Solanum lycopersicum: one gene and its partner. The protein of the gene in region 1 binds, or shares a complex with, the protein of each later gene. Links are inferred from orthologs where the notes say so. Each region holds a gene or a part of one and is shown on either strand. Other genes may lie near its edges.

What was found. Proteins that work in one complex are often made in the same cells at the same time.
Region 2: structural maintenance of chromosomes protein 4 (region 1) and condensin complex subunit 2 share a complex: the UniProt entries of both Arabidopsis thaliana proteins name them as parts of the condensin complex. The link is inferred for Solanum lycopersicum from reciprocal best matches to the Arabidopsis thaliana genes SMC3 and EMB2795.

The regions. Positions count from the first base shown.
Region 1 is NC_090801.1:66,527,670-66,531,924, reverse strand, and holds the start of structural maintenance of chromosomes protein 4, read right to left. Parts: upstream 2,801-4,255; 5' UTR 2,423-2,800; coding exon 2,270-2,422; intron 2,152-2,269; coding exon 2,062-2,151; intron 1,759-2,061; coding exon 1,657-1,758; intron 1,578-1,656; coding exon 1,401-1,577; intron 1,245-1,400; coding exon 1,114-1,244; intron 836-1,113; coding exon 757-835; intron 677-756; coding exon 519-676; intron 279-518; coding exon 203-278; intron 46-202; coding exon 1-45. UniProt on the Arabidopsis thaliana protein: Central component of the condensin complex, a complex required for conversion of interphase chromatin into mitotic-like condense chromosomes.
Region 2 is NC_090806.1:62,344,342-62,347,993, reverse strand, and holds the end of condensin complex subunit 2, read right to left. Parts: coding exon 3,499-3,652; intron 3,416-3,498; coding exon 3,385-3,415; intron 2,922-3,384; coding exon 2,782-2,921; intron 2,146-2,781; coding exon 2,044-2,145; intron 967-2,043; coding exon 766-966; 3' UTR 501-765; downstream 1-500. UniProt on the Arabidopsis thaliana protein: Regulatory subunit of the condensin complex, a complex required for conversion of interphase chromatin into mitotic-like condense chromosomes.

The DNA.
Region 1 (4,255 bases):
TTCCTTGAACTCATCCTTGCAGCGCCTCAGATCGTTATCAAGCTCCTACAAGTTTTGAGCAAAACAAATCTGAATTATTTGACCATTGTAATAGTCAGATTTAAAACCATAATATCGTAATGCTTACGTCCTCCCAAGGAAACCACCTCTTTCTTAATAACAGGATAAATATGCAATGGTATACACACTTTGTACTCCATACCTCTTGTCTTTTCAGAAACTTCGAATGTTTTGACTCAAGGTCCTTCAATGACTTGCTATTTTCCTTAATTTTCTCCCTGAAAAGTTTTTTAAAAAATTCATTGAGTGTTGAATGAAAGCACTACTGTAACGAAGGGGGATTGTATTGAAATGAAGAAACGTAACTACAGGCACTGATAGAGGAGTTCATCTCTTTTCTTGCAACAAAACTAAGGGAAAACAAAGAAGGGAGGGAGGTTCCAGATTTATCCCAAGTAAACAAAAAAGAAAAAAAGCACTATGTTCTTGCATAGCCCTCAGAAAATATAGTAAGCCACCTTTCACTTTTAAGAATCTCTTCTTGTCTAGAAATGTTCGCCTGCATCTCTGTAAATCGAGTTGAATTATCTTCAAAAGCCAATTTTGTTGCTTTCTCTTGCCATTTGAGAAGTGATAATTCTTTAAGCATGTAGGCTTCTGCGTCATTCTTCACTCCCTATTATTGAAGGAATGGACAACATAAACACATTTCTAAGAGCACAACAAATCATAAATTATGTAATGGTCTAATCTTACCTCCAAGTTATCTCTTTCTTTCTCAGCTAACTTAACCATTTGAACAACACCAGACCTTCTTTCATTGAGGACTTCTAGCCTATGATAGCATCAAAAAATAGTGAATGCAGATTCTAGAGGTATCAAGTGCATCTTTTTAGGCACACAATCTTCTTACTGAGTACACATAACACACTCATGAGTAAATTAACATACAAAGCTATAAAAATAAGGATGCAAACCATACACAAGGGAGAAAGGAAAGAACATACTGGTAAGGAAAAGAGCAGCATAACTATTATGGTATCACAAGATTTAGTTTGAAACTAAAAACGTTTTTTCTGCCAAAAAGAAAATCATTTCACAGTGAGAACTAACTGCTTGAATGATTCATCAATCTTCTCAACATATTTGTCGGTTCCGATAATATCCTCTAAATACTCAAGAAAGCCTTCATCATGTGGTCCTTGTCCTCTAGGCTTCATCAGTGATATTTGTTCAACCTCACCCTGCAAAAAAACCACCTATTTAGTGTGGTTCGTTCAAGAAACTTCTACATCTCTATGAGAAGTTTGGATTTTTGAAAATTCCATGGACATCTCCACATGAATAGAATCCAAAATTTGCGAAATTAACAAAGATCACATGACAAAAACAATATAGACCTGAAGAATCAGAAATCGGTTGTTATCTAGATCAATCCCTTTCCCTTTCAACATCTTAGTGACCTCTGTAAAGTTACTTGTCCGGTCATTGATATAGTACTTAGAGGAATTATCTCGAAATGCCACACGTGTGATTACAAAATCACTTCCACGAACAGCCTCATATGTCTCATCATCCTATTTAAACAATAGAAACACTAAGAATATAACACAGATTCTAAATAGTTATCTCAGAAAGAGGAAAATCCACAATTACCAAATCTATAATTTCCTGAAAATGAACAGACACGCCAGCACTTTCCAAATTCTGATGGTTACTTGAATTGTGGATGAGCTCTGACACTTTGTTTAGACGCATCTGCAGAGTTAATCATTCAAGCTCAAATTTCAATAAGCATGCAGATGGAATGGTCCATTTTAAAAGGCTAGTTTTCCCCGAGCTCCAACTTAGCAGAGCTAACAGCAGTTTCCAGTCATACAGGTTAGTAAGTTTTACATCAAACGAAACTAAGCTAGTGATCAACTAATTTTGTAGCATAGTCAACTTTTACTTTATTCATCAAGAGAATAATATTTTAGAAGTTATGACAATGAATTATCCAATTTTATCATAATCAAGGTGCCAAAAAACATGAAATAAAAAAAAAACACATAGTCTTACCTGTTTGGCCCGCTTTCCGAAGACGAAGAGCATTGCGTCGATGACATTACTCTTTCCACTACCATTAGGACCAACAACTGCAGAAAAACTCTGTACAGTAGAGAATTTTATTACATAGAAGGAATTAACTTAATTTCTAAAATATTCAATTACCACCTAATTCCTGAAATATTCAATTACTGAAAAATGTGTAAAAGCAAACCCTAACCTTGTGGAATGGGCCAACGCGCTGTTCGCCGGCATAAGATTTGAAGTTTCTCATCACCATCTCTTTAATGAATAGCCTCGGAGGTCTAGATCCAGGATGAGATGACTCATTATTGGATTCGTGGGAGTTCGAGAATTCCTTATCTACGGCCATTTTTACTCCCGGAGAATAGCTTTAGGCTGTACTGAAAAGAAGAACCGAAAGACTTGCTACTGAAGGTCAACTCCAGCGAAGTGCTGGAGTAGAAAAGGAGTCCGGCGAAGTGCTGGGGTAGAAGAGGAGCGTGAGAGAAGATTTGAACTACTACTACTATTTTTTAAAATTAAAAAAAAGTGGTAGCGCGTAAGAATTTAAATTTTTAGCCAGAACAACTAGTAATAGATGGGCGGGAAACTCCGGTAAGATTTAGGCTCTCATAATGGGCTCTTCTAAGCCGAAGCCCAGACCAGTAAATTGAACCGTTGAACGTCGTAGACGGCCTTATGAGTATCGCGTCGGCCTAATTTCCTGAAGCCCAAATAATCCTTTCCTAGCCTAAATCTTTCTAGGAAAAATTATATATAATAGCAAACTAATAACCTAAAATAAATGAAATAGCTAGGTTTTGATTTAATTGTGCTCCATAGCAAACATTAGCTAAAATTTGTCAGCGTCTCTCTCCCAGAAATCTCGCTCGCCACTCTCCATTCTCGCTCGCCTCTCTTGCTTTATACACATAAGTGTATAATTATGTTTCTGTTTTGTATAAAGCGAGAGAAAATCGTATATACACATGCAAAAATATATAACTTCAAGTTATACACTTAATTATGCAATTTACATACATTTTAGTTTAAATATTGCAGAGAAAAAGACCAACGAATTATACAATTGCAGTGAAATACAATTTTCTCTAGTTTTATATAACAGAAGTGTATAAATTGTGTTTCTGTTTTTGTATAAAGGGAGAGAAAAATATATATCTTCTTGCTATATACTTATAATTATGCAATATACATACATTTTAATTTAATTCAACTGTATGCAAAGCAAATTTTATAAAAATATTGCAGCGAAATAGGCAGCGAATTATACAATCGCAGCGAAATAGGATAGCGAATTATACAATTTAGGCCAGCGAATTATACAATTTTGGCCAGCGAATTATACAATTGTATATGTATAGCGAATTGTACAATTTTATGTTTGCTATAGAACGCAATTATGCAAACTTTGTTATAACATACAAATATAAATTTTTTTGCTATATATGAAAATTATCATCTTTGTATGCATACTAGGGCTATAAGGTTTGAATCTCAATTTCATTTGAAATCAGTGTATGCTTACGAGATTAGCTTAAAATTATAATTTCAAAATCACCAGAAATCAAATTGTAATTTCAAAATTTATGAACTCTTAAACGTGACTGTTTAGTTTAAAGTTTGTATCATATGAAAATGATTATTTTGAAGACTAGCTAATTAGCAATATTATTGATTAGTGGGTCTTTGAATAATTCTGAGTATTTGAAATTTTGTAATAGCATGTAGTTGCAGACATCCATTTGTAAAGTGAAAACCAAGACGTCATTTATTAATGTGATGCCTTAAAATATTTTTATGCCTTGTTAATGAAGTATGATTTAGGTTTTGTTTGAATTTGCTTAAAAAAATAGTTTTTAAATTAAAAATAAAAAGTCAAATTGAAATAACTTTTAAGTCAAAAAAAAAAAGTATGGAGAGACTTAGGGTCCGTTCCGATGGACTTAATAAAAGCAGCTTTAAAAAAGTACTTTTGAAAGTGTTGAAACTTATTTTTAAAATAAGCAGTTATGCGTTTGGATAAAAGTGCTGAAGTTGCTATGTCAAACGTGAAAATGGAAAAATGGAAGAAAGAGATGTTAGGGTTATGTTGGTAATTTGGAGATTGTAAAAAATATTAAGGGCAAAAAGATAAAAATGTGGTCAACTTAAAACAGCTTATAAGCTAAAAAAAAACACCTTT
Region 2 (3,652 bases), on another chromosome or scaffold:
AACTTTTTCTATGTGTTCTCAAACTTCTATAGTTGTTAAATTAGTCATACAAAATATGTGTTTCCCTCTATTTATACACATCAGTCTCAATTTTAAGTAATTTACTTATGTAATAAACATTCCTTCAAAGACCGGATAGATCTAAGTCATGGTAAGTAATCTCTTGCAAAACCTTTTTATAAGGCAGGTTGCAATACGTCCCATAGTTCTCTATCTAAGATAGATAGTCCAAGTAGGTTTCTAAGGATAAGAATTAAGGAATGTCGGTGTCAGTTCAAATGTGATAATATATACAGAAAACGTCTAACAAAAATATGTTCAACTGTTCAGTTCAAAAAAACCCATAATTTAAGTGTCAATGGCTTCATCAACCGCTTTGTAATACTTGCTCTATTTGGGCCTATAAAAAATCATATCAAAAGCTCAACAGAAGTTCAACTAAATTTTGCTATATCCACATTGAAAAGATTCAGTTATTTTATTTAGCGTACAGAAAGGCATAAGCACAAATACATGGCTGCGTCAATCTAATTAGCAAAATAAATGTAGTAAGTACAATATCAGCAAAAGCCTGAAAATTGACAACAATTCAAAAGCCAACTGTTGACAATATCTGATAATTTACACGAATTAACTAACCTATAAAGCACTACAGAAGAAAGGATCCACCACAAGCAGCATATGCTTGAATGGCCAATCTACAAGTGATATACATTACAGTAAGAAATCCAAAAGCTGAAAGAATAAATGACTTAGGCCACAGCATTAGGAAGACCGTTCGTGAGTTTCAAGTTGTATACTGAGATCATCCAAGCCGTGACAACCTTGTATCCGTAATCCATGTTCATTAGCAAGATGCAGTAAGCAAATGAAGCATAAATGAGGAGATATTGCATCGACGGATGTTGATGCTTTGCATTCGTTTGGAAAAGCAGCCAAGATGTGCTTGAAAGATACACCTTCTTCCTGCACATTACCATGTGAATCATTCAGGATATAGATGTCTGACAAACATGCTAAAAGGTAAATGGATAAAGCCCCGTCAATTAGAATGTTATGCTGATCAATGATAAGAGAACAACCCTGGAGGAACTGCTTAACAAAGGGAGTCTTGAACCGCATTAATTAAATAAAATTGGCTAAAGAAATTGTCATAAAGTCAGCCAATTTAGTAGTTCATTTATAATCTCATTAATGACTATGCAGTTATATTCATTTGCTTTACAGCTTCCCACCCTTTTGAGGGATTTAAGTTGAATACTGGAGTAAATCAAGTATGTAAATTTTCTAGATATTTCATCAATCAAATTCAGACCTTAACAGACTATCGTACAATTGCTCTGGCACACCCTTTTATTGTTTAAATGATAAACAAGTCTAACTAATATCGGATGTTTAGCTTCCAATTGATTGCTTCCATATTAGATGTAATCAATTAGTTCAAAACTGCATATCCAACTAAGATAAATGAATATCCACTTGTCAACTATATTATACTACAGAATGGAGAAAAAAAATGGATCACTTGCTCATCTCCTTAGAACTATTTTCACTTGCTACTATTTAAGAAGAGCCAATATCAAACGTTTGACCTTAACAATCCCTGGTAAACACTAAGTAGGTGTTTGGACATGATCTGATTGAGATATAAGAAAAGTTGTATTTGAAGTTGAAGAAGGGGTATTTGGAAGTTAGAAATTGTGATTGGACATGAAAACAAGTTTAAGTTTCATATGTACAAGTTGAATGAAAACATGAAAAACTCAAACTTCAAATTTGAAGTTAAATAGCCGGTCAATTTGATAAACAAACAGTTGCTTGAAATAATCTACAAATACCATTTCAAATTTCCGAACCAAAATCTATGGCAAAATAATAATAATACTCTCCTTATCAGTTGATGTGGCACTATCACTCGGCATGGTGATGAGAACGAATACTAAATTTGTTGTATATAAGAGGATATTCTACATGGGAAAAATGCATAAATTCACTAGCAAGAAGTAGAACACACTACCAGTGAAGTAAGAAGTTTGAACTCACCTCAACTGATGTTTGATTCAATTGGTCCCAAAGTGTTTCCTTAAGTGCTTGAACATCTACTTGTTTGGATGTTTTATCATACTGAACTTCAATCTTGTTTACCTGTTAATTCAGACAAGGTCACTAGATGTTTCAGTTTGCTTCAAAAGAAGCCCTCCATCTAGCAAATTCTACAGAGGAACAACATCCCCTAGTAACTGTGCAACGAAAGATTTCTGTCGGAATAAGTTTCCATTTAGCAAGCAACATGAACATTTTGACATTTTTCCTCCCACATATTAAGTGACAGATAACACAATTTGACGTTTCTTCTCTTACGTTTGCCTAAAGAATAAAGGAACTAATGCTTATTAATGCTGCAAATGTCCTTGATGAAGTATATTTTCTTTTCAACATAAACAATGACTTATTAACGATAGTACCAAAGAGCCACAAGAAAAAAGAAAGAAAGAAACAGGTACAGCAAAACCTTAATAGAACAGCTAAGGTGCAAATTTCTTAAAAGCAAAAATCAGTGACAGGGTTTGAAGTGCCTGGTACTCATAACATGATATTTGGTAGTAACTGGTTAAGTACAAGTTGATAAATGTTTAAGTCATAGTTTTGCAGGAGATCTCACTCAATTGTATATATCATACTTGATCAATTGTTGGCCTAAGCGTCGAAAGTTACACTAGGAGGAATCGAGATTGCAGAACCACAAACATATATAGTCAAGATTTGCAAACAGGAACAAACCTGGCGGGGTTGAGAGACAAGTGTACTTGATTCCTCCACATCACTAAATGTGTTGCCATCATCAAAAGCCTCAGGAAATCCACCATCATCATCCCAAGATGGCATGGCTCCAAAATCTTCACTTTGTTGACCAGCTTCATCTACACAAAGAACCATGCAACTCAAGTCACATAGTAACAATTTTTTCATCTGCCACAATACGTGACATTCCGATTTTTTATGAAAACTGGTAAATATACAGCAACAGGAGTACGTTAATTCTATAGGCAGTAGAAGACACAACCTATGAAATAGTCAAGAAGCCAATAGAGAGCATTCATATCTAGGAAAGTAGGATTTACAAAAGACATCGCAAGAACTCTTCTAAATTCAACTCAAAAGCAGATGAAATCATTTAAAGCACTTAATTGTCAAAAGCCACAGTAGTGTCACTGCTCTAGTAGGTAAGATGACCTAGCAAAAATGCATTTGAATTCAAATTCAACATTTGCAGTTAAAAATCAACTGCAAAAACAGAATCTATCACTCATTAATGTTATACATATCCATAATTATGTCCATGTACAAAGTTTTAACAGTTGATGGCCATAAAAATTATCTCACCTGGGATTTGCTTTCCTCTCCTTCCAAGGCACTAAGGCAAGAGAATACAAGCAATCAGAATGTATTTTTAAGGTAGTCAGCAAATAACAAACTCATCAAAGTGACGAGACTTACCGTGACATTGGGTCGGAGAAACAGCTTCACAAGATTCTCAGGTTGATAATGACAATCTTCTGGAAGTAATCTGTTACACGGTGTTCTATTTGCTGGAAGGAGTAGTAACTTGGGATTCTTTGGAGGAGCAAAGACATGCAATAGATCAGTGTCC